Linked DNA regions of Struthio camelus. The main gene of each other region encodes a partner of the protein of the gene in region 3 in a complex. Links are inferred from orthologs where the notes say so. Each region holds a gene or a part of one and is shown on either strand. Other genes may lie near its edges.

What was found.
Region 1: TCTN1 (region 3) and AHI1 share a complex: the UniProt entries of both Homo sapiens proteins name them as parts of the tectonic-like complex. The link is inferred for Struthio camelus from reciprocal best matches to the Homo sapiens genes TCTN1 and AHI1.
Region 2: TCTN1 (region 3) and B9D1 share a complex: the UniProt entries of both Homo sapiens proteins name them as parts of the tectonic-like complex. The link is inferred for Struthio camelus from reciprocal best matches to the Homo sapiens genes TCTN1 and B9D1.
Region 4: TCTN1 (region 3) and TMEM67 share a complex: the UniProt entries of both Homo sapiens proteins name them as parts of the tectonic-like complex. The link is inferred for Struthio camelus from reciprocal best matches to the Homo sapiens genes TCTN1 and TMEM67.

Annotation. Positions count from the first base shown.
Region 1 is NC_090944.1:73,414,669-73,422,059, forward strand, and holds the start of AHI1 (jouberin), read right to left. Parts: upstream 3,006-7,391; 5' UTR 2,688-3,005; intron 2,284-2,687; exon of another isoform or gene 1,981-2,283; intron 1,952-1,980; exon of another isoform or gene 866-1,951; intron 1-865. UniProt on the Homo sapiens protein: Involved in vesicle trafficking and required for ciliogenesis, formation of primary non-motile cilium, and recruitment of RAB8A to the basal body of primary cilium.
Region 2 is NC_090956.1:3,416,875-3,424,568, reverse strand, and holds the start of B9D1 (B9 domain-containing protein 1), read right to left. Parts: upstream 3,006-7,694; 5' UTR 2,651-3,005; coding exon 2,564-2,650; intron 1,392-2,563; coding exon 1,323-1,391; intron 1,222-1,322; coding exon 1,110-1,221; intron 1,040-1,109; coding exon 943-1,039; intron 378-942; coding exon 315-377; intron 1-314. UniProt on the Homo sapiens protein: Component of the tectonic-like complex, a complex localized at the transition zone of primary cilia and acting as a barrier that prevents diffusion of transmembrane proteins between the cilia and plasma membranes.
Region 3 is NC_090958.1:18,032,757-18,040,176, forward strand, and holds the start of TCTN1 (tectonic-1), read left to right. Parts: upstream 1-4,419; 5' UTR 4,420-4,431; coding exon 4,432-4,654; intron 4,655-4,983; exon of another isoform or gene 4,984-5,122; intron 5,123-5,885; coding exon 5,886-6,006; intron 6,007-7,420. UniProt on the Homo sapiens protein: Component of the tectonic-like complex, a complex localized at the transition zone of primary cilia and acting as a barrier that prevents diffusion of transmembrane proteins between the cilia and plasma membranes.
Region 4 is NC_090943.1:149,423,219-149,430,584, forward strand, and holds the start of TMEM67 (meckelin), read right to left. Parts: upstream 3,006-7,366; 5' UTR 2,961-3,005; coding exon 2,777-2,960; intron 959-2,776; coding exon 870-958; intron 1-869. UniProt on the Homo sapiens protein: Required for ciliary structure and function. Part of the tectonic-like complex which is required for tissue-specific ciliogenesis and may regulate ciliary membrane composition.

The DNA.
Region 1 (7,391 bases), on a different chromosome or scaffold from region 3:
ACAGGGTAGCAGTATTTTCCCTTACTAAAATGTATTTTGCCTGATAAAGCAAATCTTTACTGTCACAATTAAAACAGTAATAGTTAAAAGTAACACAAACGCCTAATTCTTACAAGATATGAAGAAGAAAACATGATTAAAAATGAATCTGCCTTTGAAGTTTATACTTAGGTACATAGAAAGCCCATTCTAAAGCCCATGGCTGTTAAGTGCTGCTTTTCAATTACTGAATTCACAATCAGCTGGAAAATATTTATAATTTGAAAGTGCAGAAAATGAAATATAGCTATAAAATATAGCAGAGTCTGTCACTTTAATCATTCACTGCAGATTGTAGAAACACAAAAACTGCTGTTATTATTAGCTTAGTGATTTCAACCACCTTTGAAAAAAACCAATGCTTTTTAGATTTAATACAAAGAAAAAAATATGAGGAACAATATAGAACAAAACTGCAAAGTAAGCATGGTGTATACCTATTCCAAGTATGAAAATAATTTTATAGCCAAATGATAAATAAATCACACTACAAAAAAACTACAGACAAATTAATTTTGCAGATATTTTTGCTTATCATTGAACAATTGCCTCTCCAAGGGCTTTGCCCGTCTTATTTCCACCACTATTCCTCTGCAAAACATACAACGTACCAAATTCACCGGTGAGTTCACCACTCTATATTTACCTCTATTTACTCAGCAAAAATATCTATCTTAGCAAGTCCTATGACAGCGCTGTTATTTCCAACATATTTCCAAGTTAGAATTACATAACCTTTGACATAGCGCATTAAAGCAACTTGTGTAAATATAGCCCATTAATCGACAAGGGTAAGAACAAGGGTGTTTGCTCTGTATAATCTCACCTTAAAATAGGAGAGAGTTAATCGCACAAATTCAGCAACCACAGTACCCCGATCTGAATAAATTCAGTTGTCATTGAGGTGCATCTGTTCAGTGGTATTTCTGCATGATCAACTTTCATCTTTTCTGTGTTAGCCAATATAAGACAATGTTTCCAGGAATGACAAAAAAAATCACACTTGGGAACAGTCAATTCCAGCCATCGAGAATAGCCAGAAAAACAAAATCATGGAGCCAAAGCTTCCAAGAATTTACTGGGCACCTTTCTGAAAAATCATCTAATTTGCTGTCCTCTAATATTTTGTCTTTATTTATAAATGTTTTTTTCTCCAATTCATCAAGCTATTGCTGTCTTCACAATAGCTATATTTTGTTATCTGTCATAGAGATGTTTTCTATCCCAAACACATCACAAAGCACGCATCTCAGGAAAATTTCATTAACCCCTAAAGAAAAAAAGTCAAATCTATATCGTAATGAAGGAGAACATACACAATTTGTTCAATGTTACATGGTAGTGACAAGCCCCCCTATCCGATTAAGATCGCTATGGAAACTGAATTGATAGACTATAATTGCATCCTTCAGAATTTTAATGAACTAAATCTCATATTTTTCCACTATTGCAAAAACTAAATGTAATCTTCAGTGACTAGAAACAAATGGAATCAGACTTTTAAATTAGATCAGTCATCATAGTGGGATACCTTGGGTTTTACTAGTAGGTTTCTCACTTAAATATTTATAGGTATCACTCACTTAAATATTTATAGGTATCACTTCTTCTTCAGAGCTGAGAAAGGTTTAAATCATAATTATACAGCAAAGTAACAGTAAAGAATCTGTCCCTATTTACTAATGATGGATGTGATACCAAAAAGGAGCCCATTTTTATTCATGAAAGTTATTTAAGTGGCATTGGCTGTCAGCTTTCTTAAAAGCCTTATTATTACCACATAAACACCTATGAATCAGCGTATCGAAAGTATTACTAGAGCCACTGCAGCTTTCTAGCTGTTTAGACGTACCTGCAACAAACTTGTGTCCACACTACTTTAAAAGAACATTTAAAAGCGCTGATGCTATCTATCCATTGAATTGTGCACGAGTAACATACCAGAAAACTTTAGTTTCTGAGTAGTCGTCATTTTTTCCAGAACTCTCGGGACCTTTCGTTAGTTAGAAGGTTGAATTAAAATCCGTCCCTGCCCTAACGGCAAAACTATGGATTTCAGTTTCCTATAAAGCAGTACATCTCACTTGATTACTTCGTACAGTTTTAAGTCTCTGCCTTATCACAGATTACAATTACAAAAATGAGTTCTCGGTAACAGACCACGCTTAGGTATTTATTTCCGGAACGCTGTTTCTCTTTGCCTAGAGGAATAACGGAAAACAACAGAGATATCAAGGGCCACTAGAAGCATCCAGCACCAGGGGACTAACGCATGGGACCGGGGCGCCCCCCGCCCGCCCGCGCGAGCTCCGGCAGCTGCCGCGCGCGCCAACAGCTGCGTCGCGGCGCGCGCTGTAACGGCTGCCAACCCCCAGCCCGAGCCCCCCGCCCCCGGCAGGGGGAAGGGGAGAGGGATAGGGCGACTCCGAGGGGAGGGGGCTCGGGGGAGGGAGCAGCGGCGGGGAGGCGTGCCCCAGCCTACCCGCCTCTCCAGCAGCCGCGCACCGTAAACGGGCGGCGGCAGCGCCCAGGCGGGACCGCGGCCCTACGGCGGCCTTCCCGCCCACAGCGGGGGCACGGCCCGGCGTCGCCCCGCTCCCCCCCGCCCCCGCCCGGCAGCTCCTCAGCAGCGCGAGGGCATCACTCACTTTGGCCTGTCGGCTTCACGCTCGGCTCCGTCCTGCCGTTGTACTGCCTCCCCCCGTCACTGGTTTCTCCCTCATCCCGCGAGCTCCCCCCCTCGCAGTGCCTCGCAGTTGGTTTTGCCGAAAACAACTACAAGCTGCCAAGGAAACAGCGCGCATGCGTGCAGGAGGGCGGAACGGGGAGCCCGCACGGCTTGGGTTTCACGTCGGGTCGGATTAGGTGGGGCACCCACACGGCCCTTCTTGCCGGACAGGGGGCGTCGGCTGGACGGCAGCGGGGCGCATGCGTGGCGAGCTGCCGGAGCTCAGCGGAGCGCGCCTGCGCGGCGGGGGCAGGTGCTTCGACAGGCGTTTCGGCAGTTTGTGGGGCGCGCGGGGGGGCGGCGGTGTTCCTCGTGCGCATGCGCGAGGACGACTGGTGGGGGTGGGGCCGCCGTCGTGCGGGGCCGGGCAGCGTCCGTTTTCGCGTTTGGCGCCCCGAGGCGGCGGTGGCGGCGCGGCGCGGCGCGGCGCGGCTGGGCCTGGCCAGGAGCGCTCGGGCCGCTGCTGCCGCCCGCGCCGAGGCGCCGCCTGGAGGCGCCGCTTCCCGCGGTGTAGTGCCACTCGTCACGGCGCAGGGCGCTGCGGAGCCTCCCGGCCTCGCGGCAGTGCTCGGGCCGCCTGGCGGCAGGCGCTTCCCGCCGCCGGGTCCGCCGCAGGCTGCGGCCAGGCGGTGCCTGGCGGAGCTGGCAGGTGGCGGGGGCCGAGACAAGCCCTTCAGATAACATTCTCCGCCGCGGGAGTGCGCTGGCCCGGTTTGCACCCCGCCTTTGCTCGCTGCGCCTACGTGACTGCGTGTGGAAAATGGGAGAGAAATACTAATCATTTAAGAGCGATGTGCCTTGCACAGATCTCTTTATTAGACCAGGACAGTGTATTTTACAAAACAGAGAAAGGTCAGAAGCTTTCATTAGTTCTGCAGTTGCTCAGGCGTCCTGAGCCTGTTCGTAGCTTTGCGTTCTAATGGGTGACAGATTGATAAGCCCCTTCTTGAAAAACATAAAGTGGGAAGTTAAAACAGGAAAAAAAACCGTGGAAAGCTTTAATAACAGAGCAGTCCCGTAAAGATACCTTAAATTGTAGTTCATTTCAAAAGTCAAAACCCTTCTCTGGGCTCATACTAACAGTGAAAGTTATTTTAGAATAATAAAGTCTCTGGCTAGTAGATCTTTATTGCAATCGGGAGTTTTTCCGTGGACTGCAGAGCAAAGACATCTGCTCTTGCAAATGGCAGCACAGACGTATGTACTGAAGTTAGACAGATGCTTCAGAAACTTTTGTTTTCTCTGTGATTTAGTTGCTAATTTAAGCAATCTTTTGTTCTCTAGGTATAATTAAATACTGATGATTATCAAGACAGATTTGATCATTTCTTATTTGTAAGTGGATGTTGCAGGTTTCTTCAACGCTAGAGGGCTCACTGTTTTAGCTCCTGAAATCAATGCCGGTCTTGAATTAGCGTGACTGTATCTGTTCATAAGCCAAATCAGGCAAAATTAGTCTTCAGTTCACTTTCAGTTGACCATGTACCATTTGTATGACCTAGAGGTCAGTGAATGCTTGTGATACTGTGGTTGTGACATTCGCTGTTCTCAGGTATAACAGTTCCTAGAATTCTGTCAAGATACACCATCTGTGTCAAAAGAACATACGTCCTTCTTTGTTTGCTCCTCAAGATGCATTAATAGCAGAAGCTATTTTCTTTTTCCAGTTCTCTTCTGCCCTCCTCTTTCTCAAATGCATGCAAATGTTCAACTGGTAGGGGAATGAGGTATTAGCAGGACAACTATTGCCTCTCACGGTTCAGATAATTTCATTTTTGCTTATTACTGATATATAGGAATCCCTGTAATATGGAGCTTCTTGGTTACTAGTGACTGTCCCTATCGTTAAAATGAAAATATGGAAAACCAACCAAACTAGAACCAAATGTGGAAGTTAATCCTTTTTATATTTAAAGCTATGAGAAATTCTACCGATTCTACTGAAATTCTACTGACCACCTAATGGTCTCTGGGCTAGTCGTAAGCTAGATATCTCAGTCAGCGGCAGCCTTTATTTTGGCGTTGTGGTCCCAGGAAGTTCCAGCAAAGAATAGAAGCCTTCCATGCCACCTCTTCCATCCTACAGGTAAATTTCTACGTCTGTGGTCTAGCAGGATTCAGGAAAAAAGGAACCTAACAGTTTTTTCCAGACCTTGTATGTCCCAAACTCTGATGCAAATCCTAGCCCCAGCCTTCAATACAGAGTACGTGTCAAAATGGTCCCCCAAAAGAGAATACTGGTTGATGATTATTGTGATGTGTTTACTCTGTTCGACTAGCCGTACTTTATCTCCATGGTTTGTTTTAGGATCCAGCAGAAAAGTTACCTCTTCAAAACCTTTTTCCCTGAACCCGAACACCAATACCAATCTTAACACTTTGGTACAATCAGGAAACTCTATTATAATAGTGTCAAGAGACTTAAGAGTAGCCTCATAAGTATTTGCAAGCCAGCCATCTAAGTTTCTAACAAGCATCTAAGCATTATTAACAAGCCCTAGTCCGAACTTCAACCTTGGCTTCTAATACAGCTGCAAAAGGCTTTTAATACAGCTGTGAAACCTACTGAAACCTACTTCACCTCTGCCAGTAACTACCATTCTTGCAGTCTTGCTAATGTCCATCAATGCTCTCTTGAGTAAAAAAAAAAAGCATTCTTATAATAATGATTTTGATTTTTCTATAGGATGTTGACTATAGTGACAGAATTGTCAAAACCTACAGGGACTGTTCTTACCCTCTGTTTGCAGTAATTAACTAATATTCTAAATAACTTAGAATTGCTCTCCATTTGCATATTATATCATGGACATCTTGCAGGTCAGGGAGAGTGTTTATTAGTTTTCCTATTTCAATAGGAAATAGCTATTTCAATAGCTTCCTCAAGGGAAGGGACAGAGCTGTGGTAAAGATGTTTGTCTCTTACTAAAGCAACACCAGCTTACTTCTTTTAGAATGTCTTACCTTCTCACTGTAGAAGGATTGAAAGGTAACTTAAAATGCATTATCAAGGGCAGCAGAACATTCTGTCCTTCAGATTTGACAGCAGGTGCTGCTTTATTGGCTGCATTTGTAGGCAGTACTGAGTATAATAATCGTTGACTTTTGCTAACACCTGTCTTACCATAGCATTGTCAAGAGAGCGCTACTTGGCCCCGTTCAAAACTGTCAAGAACCATGCTGACAATTGAACAATGGGGGCAGTTGCATATGAGACCTCAAACCTTATTTAGTTTACCGGTTATTGTGGTTTAATTGCAGCTATTAATCAGGATCTGCGATTAGAGAATATGAGAATGGGGCCTACATGGTTTCTGCTCCAAACTTCTACCATAGCTCTGTTTCTGCCACTTCTGGACTTTTAGCTTCTAAATATAGCCTAAATATAAGTGTCTGATATTATCCAAAATAACCTTTGACACCCTGCTTGGCCTCCAGCTCTGTTTTGGATGTTTGATATTCTCTTGGCTTTTCCGAATTATATTCTAGTCAGGGGTCAAATAAAGGTTGTTGTTTTAACCCTAGTGTAGTTACTATACCTCCACAGGCTATGCTTAACTAACTTGGAACTGGGCTGCACTGCCTTTTCCAGTGCTTTATTAGAGCTTTGGCTGACACTTCTGCTGAGGCAGCTGTCCCTAGGACTGTGGCTAGTAGCCCTATGCCAAGTGTGTCAGACATGGTGTAACAACCTGTGCTGAAAACTAGATATATTCTTAAGAATCTGTTATAGGACAATGGTGAAGACAGACTCCCAAAAGCTTTCCACATACCATGTTCTACTGCAACCTTAGACCTCCCTTGCAAAGGTTCGCAGTTACCTGGTATAATGCCACACAAATGCTGTCCTTCCCCATAAACATAAGGCTACACACACTGCACATCTGCAGATATTCTAGAGCAGTCTGCCATGTGATACCAGTGCAGCACCTATCCTGGTGTCTGTCTCCAGGAGACATTTTTTATGAATCAGGATGTTTTGCCACTCACCAGTTCTCTAACGGAATCATTCCCATGTTACACAAATTAGTTTTGCTAATTTGCGAGGCATACTAAGTGAGAATTAATAAACAACAGCCCCTAAAATTTAACTCTTCAGCCAGGACTCGGCTTGCAGCAACAATAGCTGGATTCATATTTTAATGAGTTCAGTAATAAACAGTCTCAACCTCTCCAGCCAGAAACCTGAAAAAATTAAATGCTCACATAAACAAATTAGCTCAACAAAAAGTATCTTTTGAAGGGTGGGAAGAGACAGGGCATTTCAGAGGTAGACTACATAACATACAATACTTAGTTGTTCTCTCCTGGAGTGTACCTGTTACTCTTTCCTGCCTTCAGGGTAAGCGAAGGGTTGGGTGGCTAGCTCGTTCTGACTTCCAAAATGACCATCTCACTCATACTTAGTAAAACTTTAGGGTGATCTCTGCTTGTATCCCTGCTCGTAGCAAGAAGTGATCCGTACTACTGGTTACTGGTCTTGCTCCACCAGTGATGCTGGTTGCAATACTAATGCTAGTTCACTGGAGCTTTTTTTTTTTTTTTTAAAGCAAAGCTGCAAAGAGTATTTAGGTTTGCATCCCAGGGCTCCAAGCCTTACAACTGACAGTTTTCCTCATTTCAT
Region 2 (7,694 bases), on a different chromosome or scaffold from region 3:
CAGAGATGAGTCTGTTAAAATTAGCAACTCTTTCTCAAACAAACCTTGTTCAAATCCAAGGATGACAAAAAAGGCAAGTTAGACAGCATTACTCCAAGCAAATAGTTAACAGGTTTTATGAAAGCTCTCTGAAGGACACTTTAGCTTCACCTCACTTAGTTCCTCAACTTTAGCTTCACCCATAAAACTCAAAACTATCTGTTTATGATACAAAATACGTGTACGTATGCACAAGTGAGTAGCTGGAGATACTTTTTTTTTTTTTTTTTTAAGAAGTTCTTCTTAGTCTTACTCACAAAGTCTTTAATTATTACCTTGTAAACTTCTGCAGCCTAGATGTAGACTCCGGAACAAACATAGGAATAGTTCTTATGTGCCTAAAACAAACATGAAAGGCACAGAAATTAAGAAATGAACCAAACAGCAATGGCAAGCCTCCTTATTTTTATTAAAGAGGCCAGAATTTCAGATACATTATATCACTGAACATCTCAGAGTAAAAATACTTTCCCATCCACAGAGGAAGGGCTTGCTTGCATAAGAAAGCTAGCACAGAGCAAACAAGTCACTTCAGAGTGCCATACATGCTGCTGCATCCTAGGAGTCCCAGAGATATAAATACAGAAGAGCATAGTAACTTACTCTACTTCCAGTGGCAGAAATGAAAGCTTAGCGCCTGCTGAGAGTGCTGGGGAAGAAGAACTGACATACTGCACTTCATACTTGGACTTTCTTCATACTAGTTTTGACTTTACGGAATTGCCTGCAGGATTACCAAAAATCATCTGATAACCAGGGGCTTCTACTAGAAGATCTATGCTGTTCATACCACTCTGATGACGTGACAAGGAGATAAGGGGACATTTTTGGCTCTGAAACAGCACAGATACTTAGAAATAAATTCCATTTTGATCCTGAAAGATGAGTAGGTCATCACCTCACCTTCCAGGTATAATGGGAACATGAACAGCTCCATAGCCTCTGACCACATCGTTTCCAAAAAAATCAGGTCCATAGACGCTTACTACAATCTGTGGCCCTGCAAAAGAAATGGAAGTCAGCAGGTTGCCTGGTCTGCGAGATGGGCCCCACCACCCCTGGGCACTCACAGCCGGATGGGTTTGTGCTCTTGAAGGTAATGTCGATGGGGAAGTTCCAGACGAGTGTAGAGTTTGCGGCATCGCTCTTGGAGGTGATCTGGGAGATGCCCTCCTCCAGGCCCTGCAGGGAGAGCGTGGCATGAGCCAAGGACCCCTGCCGGGCCCGTTTTACACAGGCCAGCAACGCAGCCCGCGTTTCAAGGGGACGTAAAAGGCTCTTACAGCAGTCGGAACCCAGTCCTGGCCGTAAACGAAGCAGAACTTGCAGTAGAGGTCATCAAACTCGGGGAACTGCGGGAGAGAGAAAGGCTGCGTTACTGGGGCTAGGGTTGGGGCCGAGCTACATTAGCGGGACCGAGGGCCAGCCTGTGTTACGAGGCTGAGGGAGCCGGCGCCAGCGGGGCCGAGAGCAGGCCGCGGTACCAGCACTGCGGCCAGTCCACTCCACGAAGCCAAGGTCCTCAGGCTCAGACCAAGCCCAGCTACCAGGGCCGGGGCCGGGGCTGAGGCCGGGCTGCGTTATGGGAACCGAGCGCCAACACACGTTTGCAGGACGAGGGCTGAGGCCGGGCTGCGTTATGCGAACCGAGCGCCAACACACTTTTGCGGGACGAGGGCTGAGGCCGGGCTGCGTTATGGGAACCGAGCGCCAACCCACGTTTGCAGGACGAGGGCTGAGGCCAGGCTGCGTTATGCGAACCGAGCGCCAACACACGTTAGCGGGACGAGGGCTGAGGCCGGGCTGCGTTATGGGAACCGAGCGCCAACACACGTTTGCAGGACGAGGGCTGAGGCCGGGCTGCGTTATGGGAACCGAGCGCCAACACACGTTTGCAGGACGAGGGCTGAGGCCGGGCTGCGTTATGGGAACCGAGCGCCAACCCACGTTAGCGGGACGAGGGCTGAGGCCGGGCTGCGTTATGGGAACCGAGCGCCAACACACGTTAGCGGGACGAGGGCTGAGGCCGGGCTGCGTTATGGGAACCGAGCGCCAACACACGTTAGCGGGACGAGGGCTGAGGCCGGGCTGCGTTATGGGAACCGAGCGCCAACCCACGTTTGCAGGACGAGGGCTGAGGCCAGGCTGCGTTATGCGAACCGAGCGCCAACACACGTTAGCGGGACGAGGGCTGAGGCCGGGCTGCGTTATGGGAACCGAGCGCCAACCCACGTTTGCAGGACGAGGGCTGAGGCCGGGCTGCGTTATGGGAACCGAGCGCCAACCCACGTTAGCGGGACGAGGGCTGAGGCCGGGCTGCGTTGCCGGGCCGGGGCGGGCCAAAGCCAGGCCACGGTGCCAGGACAGCGGCCAGGGCCGGGCCTGGGCCCTCAGCCGGCACCGAGCCCGGGGCCGGGCCTGCCTTACCGGGGCCGGGGGCTAGGCCGCGCCGCCGGTGCCGAGACCGGTCCGCGCTGCCCACGCCCCACAAGCCCATCGCGACCCCCCGGCCAGTCCCGCTCACCTGCCCGCTCTCGATCTGCCCGCTGACGGCCACCAGGAAGACGTCGGGGCTGCTGCTGCTGCTGCCGCTGCCGGCGGCGGCCGCCATGGCGCCGAGCGCGGCCTGGCTCGTTGCTGGGGGGGCGCGCGCGCCGCCGCCGTCGCCCTGGATACCGCGGACGGCGCGGCGCTGGGGACACGCTTCCTCGGCGGGCGGCGCTTCGCGGGGCCGCCGCTGGGGGGGGGGGGAGGAGGAGGAGGAGGAGGAGGAGGAGGAGGAGGAGGAGGGGGAGGGAGGCCCGGCCGTGGCTCGCCGCTTAACGGCGCTGCCCACCGCCCAAATTCAGCCCCCCGAAAGGCAGGCTACCCCCTGCCCTTCCCCGCCCTGCCGAGAGAGCCCGGCTGAGGCCTGCCGCTCTCATCACACCCGTGGCCCGGGGGGCGGGGAGGCCGCAGCGCCCCCCCCCCCCCCCCCCGGCCCTCGCCGTGCGATTCGTCGAGTTTCTCTAGATTTATGTGGTTTATGCTCATATTTTCCAGCCCGGTTGGAGCCCCGCGGCGGCCGCTAGGGGCGGCCTCGCGCCGGGAGGGTTTCCTTTATTTTTGTTTAATTTGAGATTTCTTTGGTTTGTTCCCCCCCCGCCCTGCTTTTTGCTTTTTTGGCATTCAGCAAACCAGACCAGATCGGGGTTGGGGCGGAGGGGGGGGCAGAAATCCCACCCTTTGGCCCCTGCCCCCCAGAAAAAAAAAAAAAAAAAAACAAAAAACCCGCTCTTTCCAAGGGAAAAATATCAGGAGGCGAAAATAAAGCGGCCCCTGACCAGCCGCCCCGGGCCGCCGAGTGACCAGCTACCGCCGCCCTCGCTCCGGGCCGACGCGGGGATGTTTTCACCCCCGGCCCGGCCCGCGCGGCGGCGGCCTGAGCCCGGAAAGGGCCGTGGGGGCTGCGGCCGGCGCCCCTCACCCTGCCTCTGGGCTCCTCCGGGCGCGGGGGGCTGCTGCTGGCCGTTGCCCCCACGCGGGCGCGCTGCGCCGGCCGGCCAGGCCCCCGAAAGCCGGTACTTTGTCACTGCCGCCTTCTCCGGTACCGGCAACGCCACCCCGGGGGCTGGTTCGGTGCCGCCCGCGGGCGCTCGGCCCAGCGGCAACGTTTTATTTATTTATTTATTTTTAAATCCCAAATATTTACGATCAAGCCCTGCTCAAACGGCCAGGGAGATACGTTTTATGGTGTCGTTAATCCGCAATAAAAAACAAAAACCACCCAACGGCTTTGTTTTCAGGCTGTTTGCACAAGGAGGCCGGTCTGAGCCATCGCCGCCTGCTTCTCCTCGAGGTGCGGCCAGCGTCCTGCCCTTCAGGCGCCTCCTGCTGCTCTTGCCGCCCGCCGCCCCCCGACCGATGGCCGGAGCGCACGGACTACTGCTCAAATTCTTGCTAAAATATACTTGCCCCGAGATTTCTTTCGCTGGGGGGGGGGGGGGGGGACCCAGCACTTCCCCCTTCATTAGGCCGGGTAATTAGCAGGTGGGCGCTGGCCGCCTGCCCTTGGCGCTCCGGCCGGCGAGCCGCGCAGCGCCCGGTCTTGCACGAAGAATTAACTCGTATGGCAACGTGTTACCGTCCGTGAGATGTATTTATTTATTTTGCTGAATGAGGAAAATTAATTAGTGCCAGGTAGAATAACTCACACGCGGGCAGGAGAGGGTGAGGAAGCCTGGGGAAGCCGGCGGGGCGATCGGGTTCGGTACGGGCGTAAGGAACGACGAGCAATGAAGTTATTCCTGGGCCGCGGCGGGATTGCAACGGAGAGACCTGTCGAGCTGCTGGAAAAAAGCCCTGAGAGGGAGATTGCAGCCGCGCAGAGCGTGCTGAATGAGGCCCTGGCGGGATGCGCACAAATGTCTAATGAAGACCCCCCCCCCCCCGGCCGCCCCCATAAAGGAGCAGACAGGGCCCAGCCATCGAGGTACAGCCGTGTACTTAAAGCTTAATAGTGAAGGTTTAATGGATAAAGTCAATTTAATTACTCATCCTGTGAAAGCTCGTACAAATATCAAGTGCTTATTAGTATTCATGCCACCTGCATGGTCGCGCAACGATGACAGGTTAAAGGTTGTGTCGAACTGCACCTGGGATGGATTCAGATTTGGGGAACGGGCATCCCTGAAAGAGGAGGAAAAGTTTGTTACGGGAAAGACCTTGGGTAGGCTTTGAAGAACGGTTCTCTCAAGGAAACCACCACGGCCACGATTAAAAAAGGGCCAGGTTACAGCGAGGGCAGAGCAGCCGGCGCCGGAGGCGCTGCCGGGGCTGCACGCAAACCCCTGGCCGCCCTCCTGCCGGCGCAGCGGCCTCGCTGAGGCCAGAGCATTCGTTAGTTCCTTATTTCGGGTGTTTTCAAGCATCCCTCCCGCCCTGGCGCTGCCTGACCCGGCTCGGCGCAGACACCGAGCGGCCAGAGCCCGGCGCTCGCGGCACCGTCGCCGCCTCCCGGGCCCCGCGCTCAAATCGCTGCTTCGTCCTCCCGCGCCAGCCTTGGCCGATGCTCTGCTGCCCGGAGCCCCCGACGGCCCTGCGACCCTCCCCGGGGCGTCGAGCCGGTGAATCAGGCGCAGCAGCTCCCTCCTGGCCCCGCTCATCTGTGCAATGGCGAAAGCAGGGCTGGGGCTGGCGACGTCCGGGCTCAGGCTTCGGTGCACCATTTGGTGGGTTGTGACCAGCTGGGAACCTTCCATTTTTTGCAGAAATGCACCGAAATGCTAAAAGCAGCGGGCGGCACTCGGGCAGCGACGCCAGCCCCTTGCACCCCTCTCTGCCGCCTGCCAATAGCGATGCCGCGGCCGACGTAACGGGGCCCGTGCTGAAACCTCCCGCCCGGAGCTCGGCTGCCCTTAGGAAACCGCCACGGTGCCAGGGCCGGGCAGAAAACCGACATCTCTGCGAGCCAGAACTGCCGGGATATCGCCCCCGTGCCGAGTCCCTGATGCCGTAACCCTAGTTCACCGCCGCATCTAGGACAGGAGCGAAAACGCTTCGCGCCCGCCCGCAGCCAGCAGCCCGGTCTGGGGCTGGCGCGCTCCGTCGGCGAGCGAGCCCGCGGCACGTTTCGGGGGCGAGGGGCCGCGCGGAGCCGGCCGGCCGCCTCTGCACGGGCCGGGCCGGCGGTGGCCTGGCGGCTGCAGCGCGCACGGCTCCGCAGTTGCAGCTCCCAGAGGATGCTGGCGGTCAAAGGCGAAGACGCGGCTTGTTTCCCACGCTCGCGTCTGTGTCCTTCGAGCTAGCTCAGTCCCCCCCCAGCCCCCCGGGAGCCGGCGCGGCGGGAGGAGGCCGGTTCCCACAGCTGCGCCCGCCAGCGGCCGCGGCCGGGAGGGTCCCGAGGCCGCGGCGGCTCCCGGCACGCCGTGGCCGCCCCAGCGTGTGCACAGCAGGCGCCAGCCCGCTCCCCGGGCCCGACGTGCGGGGAAGACAGTCACGTCGGGCGAGACGCTCCTCCACATCCTCAGCTTTTCTCCGGAAAGCAGAGTGGGGCTTTGCAGCCAATAAACTGTGAATTAATAAAACAAAAAAAAAAGGAAAATAATCCACAGGGATGATGCACCGGCCACCGGTGAGGGCGCGCGCTGCCTGGCCGAGGGCTGGCGCCGGGCGCCGGCGTCGTTTGCCCCGGGCTCGTTAGGCTGCGCAGGGAGGTGTTGCCGCGTGCGGCTCCTCCGGGAGGAGGGCGCGGGGACAGGGCCGCCTGCGAGCGGCCCCCAGGGCCAGCTGGGCACGCGGAGGGGACAGCAGCGCTTCGGAAACGCCTTGTCCGTCCCACTCCTCCTGCTTGGCGGTAAAACGGGCCGATTTAGGATTTTTTTTTTTTTTTTGAAAGCCTCATAAAGACCAAGTTTTCCCCTTTGCAGCCAAAACCTTCTAACAGCAGCGGTTCCCGCCGCACACAGGCTTCGGGGCGCGGGCGAGGGCACGGGGGCCAGGGCGGACGCAGCACGGCTAAGGAGCTACGGCGCGGAGCAGCGGCGCGGCGAGGCCTCCCCCCGCCGCCGGCGGCCACTGCGTGCCCCAAGGCAGGGTGCTGAGCAGGCCGCTGAGCACACGGCGGCTGCCTCGCCGCCGGCCCGGGTGGGAGCTGCTGCGGGACCCCGCCAGGGCTCGGGGTGCCGCTGCTGCTGCTGCCGGGGCTCAGGGTGCTGCCGCCGCCACCAAGGCTCGGGGTGCTGCTGCCGCCGGGGCTCGGGGTGCCGCCGCTGCCAGGGCTCAGGGTGCTGCGCTGCTGCTGCCGGGGCTCGGGGTGCCGCCGCCACCAGGGCTCAGGGTGCCGCTGCCGCTGGGGCTCAGGGTGCCGCCGCTGCCACCAGGACTCGGGGTGCCGCTGCCGCCGGGGCTCAGGGTGCCGCCGCTGCCACCAGGGCTCGGGGTGCCGCTGCCGCCGGGGCTCAGGGTGCCGCCGCTGCCACCAGGGCTCGGGGTGCCAGCGGTAGCTCGCGCCGCGCCAGAAAGTCAAGCCACGCTTCCAGTTTATACAGTTTAATACATGTGAAACGAGATACATTTCCTTTTGAGTACTGAAGGCATAAATAACAGAAGATATATGTGAATGCATAAATATGAGGCGGCATGGAAGGAACCAAACCAAAACGATTTGGGGGAAAAAAAAAAAAGGTTTTTTTCTTTTTTTTTTTTTTTGCGTGCGTTTTGTGTTTTGTTTCTGTCTCTTCCGCGGGGCGGGCTGGCGGGGCGGCCGCTCGCACCGGGCAGCAGCTTTCCGCGGCGGAGCCGGGATGACGAGCGGGCCGGGGGAAGGAGGTGCGAGAGCGCAAATAAACCCCAAAAGCAAGGAAGAAAGAAAAAAAAAAGAAAGAAAAAAAAACCAAAAAACCCCCAAAAAACAAAAAAAGAAAAAAAAACAAAAAGAGAAGGAGCGGTGTGGACAGGTGACCTGAATTGCTCGAGCGGCTGCTCAGGCCGGCGCGGCCGCGGGGGCCGTCGGGAAGGCGGCGCGGCCGCGGCCGGGCGCAGGCGTGCGCGCAGGGACGATGAACGGAGAGGCCGCGGATGAGACGGTGCCTGGGGCCGCCTAGTTTTCGAAGGCGTTACGCTCCGAGGAGAACAAGCCACTAGCTTCAATGCTCACAAAGAACATCACCTAAGAC
Region 3 (7,420 bases):
ATCCAAGTCATCCAGCTTCTCTATAAAATACGACCTATTGTAGTTTAATGGTGACTGACTTTTGGTCAGTGTTAAAGTTGTTTTGAATGGTATCAAACTGAAAATACATATTCAGATCAAATAATGCACATACAAAACTGTTCCTCTTAGGATTTTCTTCTGTCTAATTTTAAAAATTTAAAGTAACAGAAATGATACCCCTTCTGAGGGAAGCTCTTTCACAATAGTAGCTCTAACTATTGAGCATCTTTTATTGCTAAAAACCTCCTAACACGAAAACCTGTCTGAGGTCAGCTAAAAGTCTTGTATGCGATGCGTTCAGAAGAAACACTTCACCAAAATGCTACAGATCATACAACAGCGGGAACAGCAGACATTCAGCCAACAAACAGCTTGATTAATTTATGAAGACCAGGCTGATTAAGCTAATCCTGCTCCGAGTTAGTTTAAACGCCCCAAATAAATTTAAACTGTCAAAACTGTCATCAAAAGGATGTCTGTCCATGAGCAGAACTTCTTTCATTGCCCTGCTGCAGAGAAACACGTTGACTTTGCCAGTTTGCTCACGAAGACTTGCATGTTAGTAACTTCATTCAGACTAGATATTGGTGCACTGTTCTGAAAACTGTCATATCTTTTGTCCCGAGGAACAGCAATAATTTCTTTAAAATTATTTTATGTTTAAATATTTTAAGGGGAAGGGTTATGGTGAAAGTTACATAGAAAAAAATAATCTTACTGATTTACTAAAATAAGCTTGGATAGAAAAACTGAAATGTAAGCAGTGCTTTTTGCTTAATCTTAGTGTTCTATTAAAGACATTGGGTTGCAAATGCCACACTATTATGTTTAAATGCACATCAAAATCTTGTTCCTTAAAATGTAACTGCAGTAACAATACAGTAAGTCCTTTAAAATGCTTTTAATAGACAGCAATCTACTGGGCCTTAAATTTTCATTTTTATAGGACCTCCTATATGAGGATCACAGTGTCCTGTTAATTATTAACTAACTCATGTTGATAGGATAAATTAAAAGCTCTGTGATGGAGAACATGTCTTATTTATTAATGTCCTGACCTTGTCCTACACGTTGCAGAGCTTGCGCTTTGGAACCTACTTCTCAAGACTAACACAGGTTTTTCTGTGGTGGTGAGATTTTTCAACTGTTTTCTCTTATAGTTGGTTTTTGTCTAGCCTTTCTTTTCTGTATGACAAAGTTTTGTTTTTCTATTGCCATTTTCTTTGTATCTGTTTCTGCATGGACCTAATTTACTGCATTCTGTTAATATGTAGATATCTCCAGAAAAGCTTCATGACTTTAATAAACTATTACATTTCATAATTTAGAAATTCAGAGTTACTCACTTAACAAAGCAATAATAAAGAGGAAACTGAAGCGACATCAGCACCTACGCTTGCCCTATTTTTTTTTTTTTTATTTAAATTATGGCCAGTATCGGAGATGGGGTTAGGTGAAATGTTGGTCTGACTGAGTAAACCCTTACTTCTGAAAAAACTGTCATGAAAGAACCTGATTCATTACGCTATACTTTGATATTGAACACTTTCCCATTTGCTCTATTCTATTTCAATGGTAGATGTGGTGAGAAATGGTATCTTCTTACTTATTCAGCTTCTGCGCACATGCGGTCAGAGTCCAATCTGTGCTTGGCACCAACTCACAGACTTCAGCACAGCCTGGGTTTCATCTAGGATCCTGTTCTGCTGTGTGCCATCAGCTTTGCAAGTCATTCCAGATGAAAAAAAATGTGTTAAATTCCATTGTCTCTTGCGCATTATCAACAGAGCAGAGCTCTTCACTGATTTCAAATCCATTAGAAATGTGTAAATTAACAAGCAGGGGTGCTGTGCTTCAATATTAATTATCTCATCTGATGGCAGTGCAGTTGCACAAGAGAAACAGAAGACAGTATATGACCTGTGATGATACTCAAAGAGGAAAACCATAAATTAAGCACCACTCTCCCTCCAAGCCCACAGACTAAATTCTAAGACACAAATTTTGCAGCAGGACTTATAGGTAGGAAAGACCTCTTCATTCTTGTTAATTGACCACATGTGGTAAATGGGAACTGATTAGTCAAGGAAATTCAAGGAATTGTAAACCCCCAAGTCAGCATTGTCCAGGGAGAGGTTTGATCTCAAACACATGACAGCGGAGGAGAGAGCAGCCACATGGTAGAAGGTTCCTTTCTACAGGAATGCCTCTCTCAGCTGGGACAACAAGCACCACAGCAATTAGAAAAACTTCAAAAATCTATTTTACTTTCCCCTCAAGCAAATGGGTGTGGAAGCTTCACAACAGTGACAGCAGAAAAGAGCTTCACTCTCCTTTCAGCAGGCAGGAAACCAAGCCTCCTTTACAGAGGAGGCCTAAGGCCTCCTTCTTCAAGCTGTAAGACTTCTAACTCTGGCTAGCTGAGAATAGGTCCTCAGTTGACATCTATTATCTATGCCTATCTGCTGTACTAAGCAGGGTCAAATACCTGTTTTTTTTTTTTTTTTTTTTTTTTTTTTAAGGAGACCATGTAACCTTCCCTTCCCTCCCACCCCCTGCACATAGTCTCCACTGTGGCTGCAGCCAGTCCTGGCACAGCCTAAATGAGAAGCAAAAAAGTACTCCTGCAATGCCATTTTTATATACACTCCCTTTCTAAAACAGAACTGTAGGTGAAGTCACTGCTATTCTTCAAGCCTGAAAAAGGAAAAAAAAAAAAAAAAAACCCCACCCCAAAACCCAGTAACATAATTTTGGAGACCTTGTTGAAGGGAAACACATGAATGTTTCCAGCTGAATCAAACTAAGGTAATCTCAGAATCAGCAAAGAAACAAACTACATCAGTTCTCCTGCTTCTAGGAAGGAGGCAAATACAGTAACTTTAGGTTATACTTGTTTTAACAGAAGGATTGTAGAATGGCGACTCAGGTCAGACAGTTATTGCATATAAGGTACCCTGAGATTTTAGGTCCAATGGAGTACACCAGATTCTCACCTTCATGTCACCACGTCCTTAGTGCACTGATGACTTTCCAAGAGGAAGGATGACTCGATGCCAACTGATATGGAGCTATTTCAAAGCCATCCTCGTAACTGGCAGTTGTTACCAGCTGTGCTATGTGATACAATCAAAATGACCTTGGTAGCCCTGTACCTTGTGCGGCAGACAATAGCCTGTCTCTCATAATTCAGCAACACTTTTGTCAATAATTGGCTTTTGTACAGTCCCAGTGGAGCAGCAGAAACCTCAGCAGGCTAAAGAGATTAATTAACTCACCTCATCTCCTCTTCAGATGTGGTCGGTCCAGGCCAGGCATGACACACTCGGGCAGAGGACAGAAATGGCAAAGATGCTGTATGCGCTGTGGAATTATTTCAGTTTTCAATAGAAGAACCTGGAACCTCTCCAGCACACTAAATTTGCATGCAAACATGAAGTTAACCTGTTCAGGTGTTGTGACTGGCACTGAGAGCGGTCAAATACGTTAAATGCAAAACAGAACACGCCCTCTTGTGGTCCCGAAGCTTTCAGTGGCTTCCCTTCAAGATGATAGGAACGAGCCTAAAAAGAAAAATAAGAAACTCTGTAATGATGCACTGTGCGCTTTGATGCGGGAGCAAACATTGCAAAGCCGCTTTAGATCAGATAATGCAAAAGACAAATCTCAGAAAGTTTAACTTTAAAAAGCGCACGTTGATTCCTGCTTAGACCCAAGGCCTGGATGCTAATATTTGTGAGCTAACTCTAAGGAACCCTGATCATTTAGTCACTCTGTAGCTCAATTTCCCCAACTATCAAGTTGGTATAAAAATGCTTGTATATACTGCAGAGGTACTATCAAGATAAATGAATATGTGCATATGAATATGAATGAATATGCGCATTAAAGACCAAAAGAACCTGCAGCTTTTTCAAAAGAAAAAAACCCAAGATGAATACTTTTAAAATTACAGTTTAAGAAACACAGAATTATTTTTTAAAAAGTTGCATAAACATACAAATTGTAAGATTTTATACCTCACAAGGGGGGGGGGGCCCTCTTTTTTTTTTTTTTTTTGCATATGGTTTTCCAGTAGTGCCCAGCCTCCCTGTGCGGAGCGAGATCTCGCAGGGCGCACGGGGGCAGCGGCGGTGGCTCTGTCAGGCCAGGGTCGGGGCTGGGGTCAGCCTCCCCTCACGGCCCGCCACAGCACCCAGGGTGCGCCGGCCTGTCCCGTGGGGCCTGGGGCAGCCCCCCTCCCACGGCGCCCGGGGGCTCGGGCCTGGCCTCTCTCCCGTGATGCCCCGGGGCCTGGCCTCTCTCCCGTGATGCCCCGGGCTCCAGGTTGGCCTCTCTCCCCTATGATGCTCCAGGGATCCCTCCCATGATGCCCCGGGGCTGCGGGCGGGTTTTCCCGTCCCTCCCGTGATGCTCCGCGCTCCCCTAGCAACCGCGCGGATGGCGGGGGGGAGGAGCGGTGCCCGCCCGTTGCTAGGGGCGGCCATGGCGGCGCTGCGGCTCGCGTTCCTCCTCCTCCTCCTCCTCCTCCTGGCGCAGCCCCGCGGCCCCCTGCCCCGCGCTGGCGCGGTGGCTCCCGCGGCGCCCCCGCAGCCCCCCACTGCTGCCCGCAGGCCGGCCCCGGTGACGGACGGTGGGTGCCCGGGCCGGGCGGGGGCTGGGCGGCTCCCCCGGGCCGGGCCGGCCCCAGGCCTGCGGGGAGACCCTGCGTGCGCGTGGGGCTGGGCATGGCCCGCCCGAGCCCCTCATTCGGCCCTGGACCCTATAGATAATATTCTGTCACAGCTGTGCCCTCGGCAAGCCTTTCCCGCTTCTTCCAGTCAGCGGATAGGTTCAGCTTTTGATTTCCCAGTGTTGCCTCCCTCCGTTCCGTTTCGCTAGATCACCTGCGGAATTAAACGCGTCCTAGCGTGTGCCTCCTTAGGGAAGGGAGGCTTAAACCCCTGCTGTGTTTAAACTTACCTTGTTTACAACAAGGTGAGCAGAAGACTCCAATCCTAAATTCAGCTGACAGAACAGTCAGAACTTCAGAAATTCCAAGAACTGGCTGGATACGGTTCATGGTGGGCAGAGAGCTTCTGGAGGGCCACAGGGAAGTGTGTTAACAGTCAAACTGAAAGGAAAGAAGTGGTAGTTACGAGGTTAAATATTCATTCGTGTCCGGCCTATGCAGTGCTGATCTTCATTTTCTACATTTTATGCTGCCCTTAAATCTAGATTAATACAGAACAGCCACTTTCAAAACCAGTTAAGTAAATTAATATCTGTTCTCTGAATTTGTAAACCTGGGAACAGAAGAATATTTTAAGAAGCTGCTAAATTTATATTGTCAAGACAGTTCACCATATTGCTGGTGATTACTTCCTTATTATTGCAATATTCACAGTATCCGAAGACACAGAGAAAAAGCAACTGTAAAGAAATTAACTCTAGTTATATTGCAACATCAGGGAAACATTACTGTATCCTGGGACACGTCTGATACTTCTAAACTTCTCATTGCTGTAGGATAACCCTTCTCTCCTTTCATCTTCCCCCCCATCCCCCCCAGCTGAAACAAACCTAGCGTTGCTCCATTATTTGTATCTTTTTTCTCAGCAGTACTACATAACGTTTTAATACCTTCAGCATTCCTATTAACTCCAATTGCTTTTTTGATTTCACAGGGAACACAGGATCAGATTTATAGTATGCCTTGGAAAAGATAACTTTTTAAAATGACTTGTTAAAAAAAAAAAAGTGAATTTGGATGTAGACTTTTGACCATTGTCAAAATTAGGCAAGGTGAAAAATTAAAGTGTTTGAGTACATATTGTAATGTGTTTAGATTTGATTCTAACACTAATTTAAATCTTTTTCTCCAGTTGCCAAGCTGTGTGTTTGTGATCTGTTGGTGGCGCAGTGTGATGTAAATTGCTGCTGTGACCCTGACTGCAGTGCAGCAGATTTCAGTCTCTTTACTACATGTTCAGTTCCTATTGTCACGTAAGTGAATAAATGGTTTTCTGAAATACAAACTCCTGTCCTGTTTGCTGCGTGCATTTGTAAGGGCTCTATCCTGTCCTCTTACAAATCCCTAACCCATCCATCCTGACTACCTTTTCAGCAGTCCCTCCTGCATTAGGCATGCAGTCCTTCCTTCCCCAGCAGGTAGGAGAAAAGCAAATTGGCACCTGACTCCAGTTTCTCATTCCCTGTTTTCCAGACCTGTGCTCCTTGCTTTTCCCCATTCCACTGTCCTACTGTACGTGGGCATTAGCTTCTTTAGAGGGAAGAATAATGTATCTTTAGACTTTTATCAATATAACACAGTGTCTGGAAGCTAAGAAAGCTGGTACCATGGGACAATTTGACCATGTGGGTCATCAGCAATTTATCAGTAACCTCTTTCATTGGTGTTTATTGCATCAGATAGAAACATGATTGATTCAGGTCTGTAGTGAAATACTCGGAGAATCACTCTGGTATTAATTTTATGAGCAAGTACGCAACTTGCTGTCTCACTGCCATTGTCACTTCACAAACAAAGTAAAATGTAACATAACTATCAGCATTATGTTCTTGATTATTGTTTCTTTGCTACTTACAGTCTATCTGAAAATACATTTACCCAGATTTCATCTTCTCAAGTAGAAGCTAAAGTTAATTTCAGAATCTTAATGTAAAAATCTCTTGGTGACTTCTCAGAACAATAAGTATAGCTCTTCAACCTACCTTCTGCATAAATTATGCCAATCTGGAAACTGGAGTTTATTCTCAGTGCTTTGAAATTTCAATTAGCAGTCATCCTCTACTGCCATTCCTTATTGTTCTTGCACACAATGACTACTGCTCCCCATTTATAGGTATTTATATATATCAGAAAGGTCTAATCAACACCTTCCTGAATGACAGTTTAATTATCTCAGGTGACTAGTCTGTCTTTGCCAACTAGAAATGCAGAAAATCAAGTTGTATCTTTTTTCCTAAATTCTTTCCTGTAAGATTTTCATTTTGCATGAAAATCCATGGTATTTTCAATGACTACAAGTGTTCTGGATCTCATTATTTACTTATAGATTTATATACATTTGAATAATTGTAATGGTTACTAACGGGGTTTTGACCACAAGTTAGAGGTTATGTGGTCTGTAAAATGCAGAAAACGGGGGTGTTTTATTTAGGATATGATCCTATTAAGAAATGGTTCACCTCCTGAAAAAGTTTAGCTCCATGCATAAGAAGTTGTTCCTAAAACTCATTTTGCTTTATCACTTTCTATCCCTGACTGTTTTAACTCGCTCTGCCATAAGCACCAGTTTGCCAGGAATCAACATGCTAGAAATACATGAAGGTGAAGGCACTGGTACAGCCACATTGGATCGTTATTTCATCTCCCGGTTTCTCACCTTGTCCTTTC
Region 4 (7,366 bases), on a different chromosome or scaffold from region 3:
ATAATGATAATGCCAGCATTATAGGAAAAAAAGAAATAGCAGAAAGATCAAAACACCAACGGATATCCCTCAAAGTCTTTCTAAAGTAGCAACAAGATGATGAAAAGAGGGAGGAGATTAGTTACGTTACCCAGTCAGCCATTAAGCATCTCACTAACCCAGCTCAAGTCGATCTCTTGAGAGTTTTTCTTACTGGAGAGAAAGAAGTACTTTGGAAGGCTCTTACTTTCAAGAGTTGTTTTTGGTAGAGAAATATTATTTCTCTATTTACTATAGCGGGAGAAAGCTGGTTAAGTCTGGTGCCTGTGGCTCACTGCTGTGAATACTGAGAAAACTAAGTTTACTTTGTCGAGACAGGCAGAAAGAACAGAGCAAATCACAAAGGTATGTGTAACTAAAATAACGCAAAATGAGCTGCTGCTTTTAAAGTGAAAAGATAAATGACAGGGTACGAAGATACAGCCCAAATATTACAAAAATAGGATTTATATAAATAACCAAATAAGATAAGGAAAAAAACAAACAAACAAACTAAAAAACTGAAACTCATCTTTGGCTTTCTATAAAGAAGTGGTCTCAGGGTAAGAGTAACACAACATGAAGCAGAAGAGAAAAGGAGCAGAAGGAAATTAAACATTTAAAATACTCTTACTTTGCCTAAAAACACAATTTTATAATTAAAAGGTCCCTGCAAATTAATAATAATAAACAGTTTTAAAGAGGAAAATAAATACTACATGGTCTTAAGGTTAAAAATTCACTGATTTTCAAAATAATCTAAAATTAAAGAAAAATAACTTGCAGTTAGATGGAAGTTCCAGACTTAAAAAAGCATTATTATGGCAGACTATGAAAAGTTCAATGCTTACCATACTTTCCGGGCATTTTTCACAAATAACAGAGGGCCCACCATTATTAGAAACCATCCTGAATCCTGGCTGACATACACATGAATGACCTGGAAAAAAATAATTCCCTTTTAAACTACATAAATCAAAACTGTTTTTTCCACATAATAGAGCTGTTATTTTTCTTAAGAGATCAGTTTAGTTTCTTAGGTACACAAATAAAACACTTGAGTGTCATGTGCATGAAAATCGCCTTGTTTTTTAAAAAAAGTAGATGTTACAGACTGTAGGAAAAGGTTTTGGGAAAATCAGATTAGGTTGACTGATACAGTGGGAGAAAAACTATACTAGGTGTGTGTCTTTGCGTTCTTCCTTCAGCTATACCAGTTGATCTAATAACTGGTACAAATCTTGACTCACTTAGCCCATCCTCTGGACAACAGTATTAGCATCATATGTCTGTATTCAGTTTTTAATCCTTCGAATAGGAAATCACTCTGAAAAACAAAACATAACCTTTATATGCGAAGATTTTTTCAAAAATATAAATGTAGTTTGTAAAGCTATTTTAAATTCAAAGCTTTTAAAACTGTGCATCCGGATCAGTTTCCAATGAGTAACAGAGCGTACCTAATGTTTATTATTAAAGTAAACACAATTACCATGGCACACCACAGCAGACGCTTGTTACACTCAATAGCATTTTTTTCCAGTAACTTTTTACTCTCAAGATATTGTGGATCCCTCTCTGTAAGTTCGAAGACATTTTATTAGTACTTAGAGTCAATTCTGTTTTATAGTGTGTGTTTATTATTATTTAAGGTCATAGAAACGTGCATGTAAACATTCACATAAAATTTGGTGAGGTTTTATAATCTAAACCTAAACTGCTCTAAGAAGATGCTGTGGAGAAGTCTAAATCCTTGAGCTCATGGAATCCTTGAGCCTTGGAATTTATATGTTTCCTTGAAGCCCCGAGCAGAACAGTGATGTTAGAGGAAAATTCAAGCCTAAAGGACTTACGGATTTAGATAACTATATGATCAATGCAACTGAAAACCGCTACAGTATGTTTCTTATGGATATCTTAAGATATCATTAAAGGTGGTGGGACAGGTGACCATCTTTTTTTATGCAACAGTCTCAAGCCAAGAGTATCCCACAGCGTGGGGACAAAGGCAAGGGACAACCCATCGTTCTTGCTGTAGCTACGCCGTAGGAAGCAGAGCATGCAACAGTTCATTGGCCAGAACCTCACATAAGGGAGCGCAGCTGTCCAGATGACTGCGTTTAATCGAGGGACCAGCTCCAAAGAAATAAGCTGTTGGGTCTTAGTTTGATTTGTTAATGTACATACACCACTGAAACTACCACTTTTCCAAAACTGAGTATTCATAAAAGCGGAACACTATCATACACTCATGTCTCTTAAAGAAAGCGAACATTGCTCACTTAGTACATTTTTCACTTAGTACTGTCAATACGTGTAGCATCCTCCACATTCCCACATGGGACTCGGATTAATCTGTGCACAGCCTGAAAGTCTCAGATATTTAAGTTCTCAGACATGTGAGTTTTGACAAGAAGCTTCAAGTTTTGGAAGCTCTCAAGAAGAGAAATTTAGGGACCTATAGAATTTTACTGATAAAAAAGTGGGCATTTGTAACAACAGAAATGCCTAAGGAAAGAAAGATTAGAGAAAAGGTGTACATATATTGCTCTTGGATATATAACAGAATACAGATATCGTATCTGTGCTACGGACACCTATGCCTTTTGGAAGGTCTGACCCTTTCCACTGCTTTTCAGACTCGTACCTGAGAACAATCGTTTTGCAAACTAAAGCAGCCCAAATCTGAGCCCAGATTTGGCACCTCCAGCCGCGAGGAGCCCCGCTCGCCCGCCCCCCTGCGGCGCGGATCGCTCACCGTCGGCGCTCGGCCTCTGGTGGGGCCCACACGGCCCGCAGGCCAGGCGGGAGATGTCGAAGTAACGGGCGTCGCCGCAGCCGCCGGGCCGCCGCAGCGGGAAGGAGAAGCCGCGGCCCGGCGGGAGCCCCGCGGCCAGCGAGAGCAGCAGCGCGGCGGCGCCCCACCACCGCGCCGTCGCCATGGCTACCCAGCAGCTGCAGCCGCGCGCTCTCACTGGCCAATCGCCTCTGGTACGGAGCGCCCGAAGGGCCCAACCGCGGAGGCGAAGCGTTCACGGGGGAGAGGGCGCGCCTGCGCCGGACGTGCCTCCGCCGGGGAGCGGGGAGGGCGGCAGGGCATCGGCGGTGCGGCAGAGCAGCGTCAGGTGGTGCAAACGTGTGGTTTTCGTTTTTAAGGAGACGGGTAGCAGAGCGATCATACAGAATGCCCAGATGAACGCACACAAAGCCAAAGTTACCCCTTTTTTCACTTGCTCTTATTCACTTTCCCCCAAGCATCACCAAAACTTTTCTGGGTACTCGAGCGTCCTCGGTTTTCATTATTCCTCACTATCTCTTTACTGAATGATAACCGCATAACTATTTTGAGTCCGTATAATAGTGCTGCTTGGAAGCATATATGCTTATCGCACCAAATGCTTCATTCCTAATCAGATTTGTATTGCTGCGTTGATGGAATTTTTTAAAGGCTGAGATACTGGGTGATTATGCTTAAACTTTTTATGCTTCAGTTCCTGTTCATAACATCTCTCCTAGAGATAGCGAACAGCTATCGCAGATAATTCCTATGTTGTATGTTCTTTTTTTAAACATCTCCAGTCAAGGAGAAGACAGCAGCTCCCTCTGTGCCAAGCACCCAGGCAGTGAAGCTAGGAAAGTGGGGTTATAAGCATTATTTCCAGAGAAAATAGCATTTATACCTGCAGTAAAATTATTTCTCAAGAATCTTAACCCTATTTTTGTGAGATTTCCAACCACTGCTTCTAAGCTATATCATGTGAAGAGGGATTTCATAAATCGTTAATACTGTGATAACCAGCAAGCTTCTGGATGCCAAGAGAAGGCAGCTTCACAACTTCTGGTCAGCCTCATGTCAGTTACTTTCTAGCTATTTTCTAAGATATAATGGAATGCAATTCCCCAAACTCAGTTTGAAAGGACAGAAGGACCTCATTTTATTAGTTACTCATGGTGTAACCAAACCACCAGTGCTATGTAATTGTATTGTTAAATCAGGAAACGTGTTTCCAAAAGACACAGAGAAGAGAGAAGCGTGCTTTGGATGTGGCTCTGCGGAAGACTCCATCAGAAGCACTTTCTCATATTCTACTTCCTAGGCTCCAGATAGAGATCGATCCCAGAAAAGACAGATAAGGGCTACCAGGATGACCAAGGGGGGGGGGGTGTGAATCTACCCCAAGCTTTTTTAGTCTATCAGAATGGAGCTGACTAGCAATAGAACTGCTGTCTAGAAATATAAGGGAATACGTCTAAAACACAGGGAAAGGGAGGTGAGATGAACACTGCATGGATAAAATACTATCTAACCTTAATGATGAAAGTAGCCTGCCTCTCCCCTTCTGCATGGACAGTCTTACCCCTTACTTACTTCTCCCTTCCTCCCATTTCTCCCAACGCACGCTTGGAGCCAACCTCGAGAAAGTTTAGGTTGGAAACTGTTTTTCTAACAATTGGCCCCTGAGCTTTGGGAACCGCCTAGGAACAGAAGCACAGGGTGCAACACCCCCTCTCCGGTGCCAGAGGCGCCCGCAGGCCCAGGCCCAGGCCTGAGGCGGCTCCCAGCGGCTCTCAGCCTCGGGGCCCACAGCCCTCGCAGGGACTTCCCCCTCGCCCCTTTTCCTGAACCGGGCAGGCGCCGGAACTGACGGAAGCGAGAGGCTGAAGGTCGCTGCAAACAGCCGTAACCCTAGCGATCAGCGCAGCCGCCACCGCCCGCTGTCACCGCGGCGCGGACGACACCGTTCTCCTCGGCGGCGCGCGCCGCCAACGCTGTCCCGCGGGGCGCCCCGGCGGCGCATGCGCACTGCTCGCAAAGCGGCCCCCGCACATCCCGCCGCCGTGACCACGCGACGCTGCACGCGTCAGCGGCGCGCCTACGCAGAGCGCATGCGTACTGAAACGAGCGGGGAGCCAGACAGCGCATGCGCAGCGGAAAGCGCGGTAGGGACAGGGCGTTCCCGGCCCCGCCTCCCGGAGGCGGTTCGGAGAGGGGGGAAACCGCGTGCGCGCCGAGCATGCGCACGAGCGCAGGGTGGCGCTCGGCGCCGCGCCGCGCCGCGCGGCCGGCGGGGCCCGGAAGGATTCGTGCAAGTTCAGCCGTAGGGTCGGAGGGGAGGGGGTCGCGCAGGCGCAGTTCGGCCCCGGCCTGCTTGTTGCGGGGGGAAGAAGGAGGACGCCATCTTGGCGGTGCTGCGCTGGGAGCTGCGGGGCTCGGTGCTGAGCCTGTCCCGGCGGCGTGTCCGGTGGGTGGATGGCGCGCGGGAGGGCGCCTGGCTTCCCTAGGGCTCTGCGTAGCCGAGGGCGCGGGGTGCGCGCCGGCGGAGCGGCTGCGCGGCGGTTGCCCGCGCTGAGGCCCCTCGTCCCGGCTGGCGGCTTTCGCCCTTCGCTCCCTAGTGCCCCCATCCCGGTGCCGCGGGGAGGCCGCGCTCGTTCTGCGCGGAGTCGGGTCACAGGCGGCCTCTCCGCCGCTCCCCGCGCCTCGGCCTCGCCCGCTCGGCGGCGGGGCGCGTTTCCGCCGGTGCGGCCGGCCGCGCCGCTGCTCCGGGGCTTCCCAGCGGCCTCTCGCCGAGGAGCAGCGCTCGGAACCGGCCCTGCGGCCGCCCAGCTGCAGGGCACCCTCCCGTCTGCCTTCAGCGGTGTTGGAGGCTTTCACTCCCAGTGACTTACTTTGACTATTGAGGCTTGTTTTGGAGAAGATTAGAATAAACAATCCTTCCCTGACCCAGCATATTCTTAACTCACATATTCATCAAAATTCAGTTTTATGCTTCTGGTATTTCTGTGGGTGTTCCTGTTGGCTTCATTGCATACAGATTGTGTAATCTTTCTATCCGGTAGTAAAAGTGCTAGTCTAGTGCAGTCCTATTTTCATGAAATATTTGAAGGCTTTTTTTTTTCAGTGAGGTGGTATGAAGTTTTAATAGCATTTGCAATGTGCTCTGCAAAGGCTGTGGAAGTGTAGGCAGGCACAGTACGACTTTCTAGTTAGCTCAGCTTAAATACAGAATTTCCTAAAGCATTAGTGTGCACTTTTCTGTGCTTTTAAAGTGTTGGCATGAGGCCATCTGTTTATTATCTAAACACTTGTTCTTTGAAGGCCTTGCTCAGTTGATGATCTGGTTTTTGTCTTGTGAGATATTTTCATCCTAAAAGTCACTTTTAGGTCATTCATTTAAACAGTTGCACTGGTTGTCTGTGTTGGCTTTCGCTTCTTCGTTGCTTAATGCACAGCTAGTTAAAGCCTATTATCCGAACTTGTATTTTTGGTATTTTTGTTTATGGACTTCTTAAATATCACGTTATGATCTTGAATCGGTGTGTCTTGTTTGAGCACTGCAATTTGTATTCTGTATCCGTGGGCCGTCGTGGAGGACTTGACGTTTACCACCTAAGAAGTACTGAGGATATCTGGTTCTGAATGCTGGGTAAAAATTGGGATAGGAATACAGAGTTGCAAAATTCAGAAATGCTACAGGTTTCATACATCATGAAATAGCAGGCCAGCGGATTTGATTTTCCAAGAAACGAAGGTTCTGTACAAAAATTCTGCCCTTGAGTTCTCTCCTTGCTTGTTGGCACTGCTACCATATCTGTTGAGAAGATCGATTATAAAGATGCGGAGAGCTGATGATCTTCATTGCAGTTATCAAACAGGCAGTTGTCTTCAGTTTGTGTTTATACAGTGCTGACCTAGAAGCAACATAGAATCAGTTAAAAAACTGGGGCTTCTCCGACTTGTTTTGTAAGCTCAGGAGGAGCGATTAGTTACTGTGATCAACAGATAACTGTGCATCAGAAATCTTCATTCATTAGTGTGTCATGACACTTGTTATTGAGCAAGAGTTTTGTCCAAGGAATATTCTCAGATACTTGTCATCAAGGTCTTGGGCTTTTTTTCTGAAGGGATGCAGCCATTTGTCTGGAGGCTTGTCGTTGCTCTGAGAGAGTAGCGTTCTATGTATATATGACACTAGATGATAATTTAAAAAACTGGGATGCATGGAAGTTAGTTTGTTAAGTGATTCTTATATTTGAAAGGCAGTATGCATTTAGGGAAAATAGTGAACTCTACTTTGTAAATTGAAGTAGTCACTGAAATATCTCCTTGTTGACTCTTTTTGCTCTTTCATGCAATTGTCTTCACTGTGTACCCTTAAGTGCAATGCTGGAATGGTGAGTAGCATACTCTTGTTGTGAACTTTAAAAGCAGGTGGACTTCAGAAGAATGGACACGTACAGTAATATTGAGATGGACTTGTGCATCATTCAAGGACTCCCAAGAATTGAGGGTGTTCCCCTCACTTTACGATCAGTCTGTTTCATTTCAACAGTTCAGTGTGGCACAGTT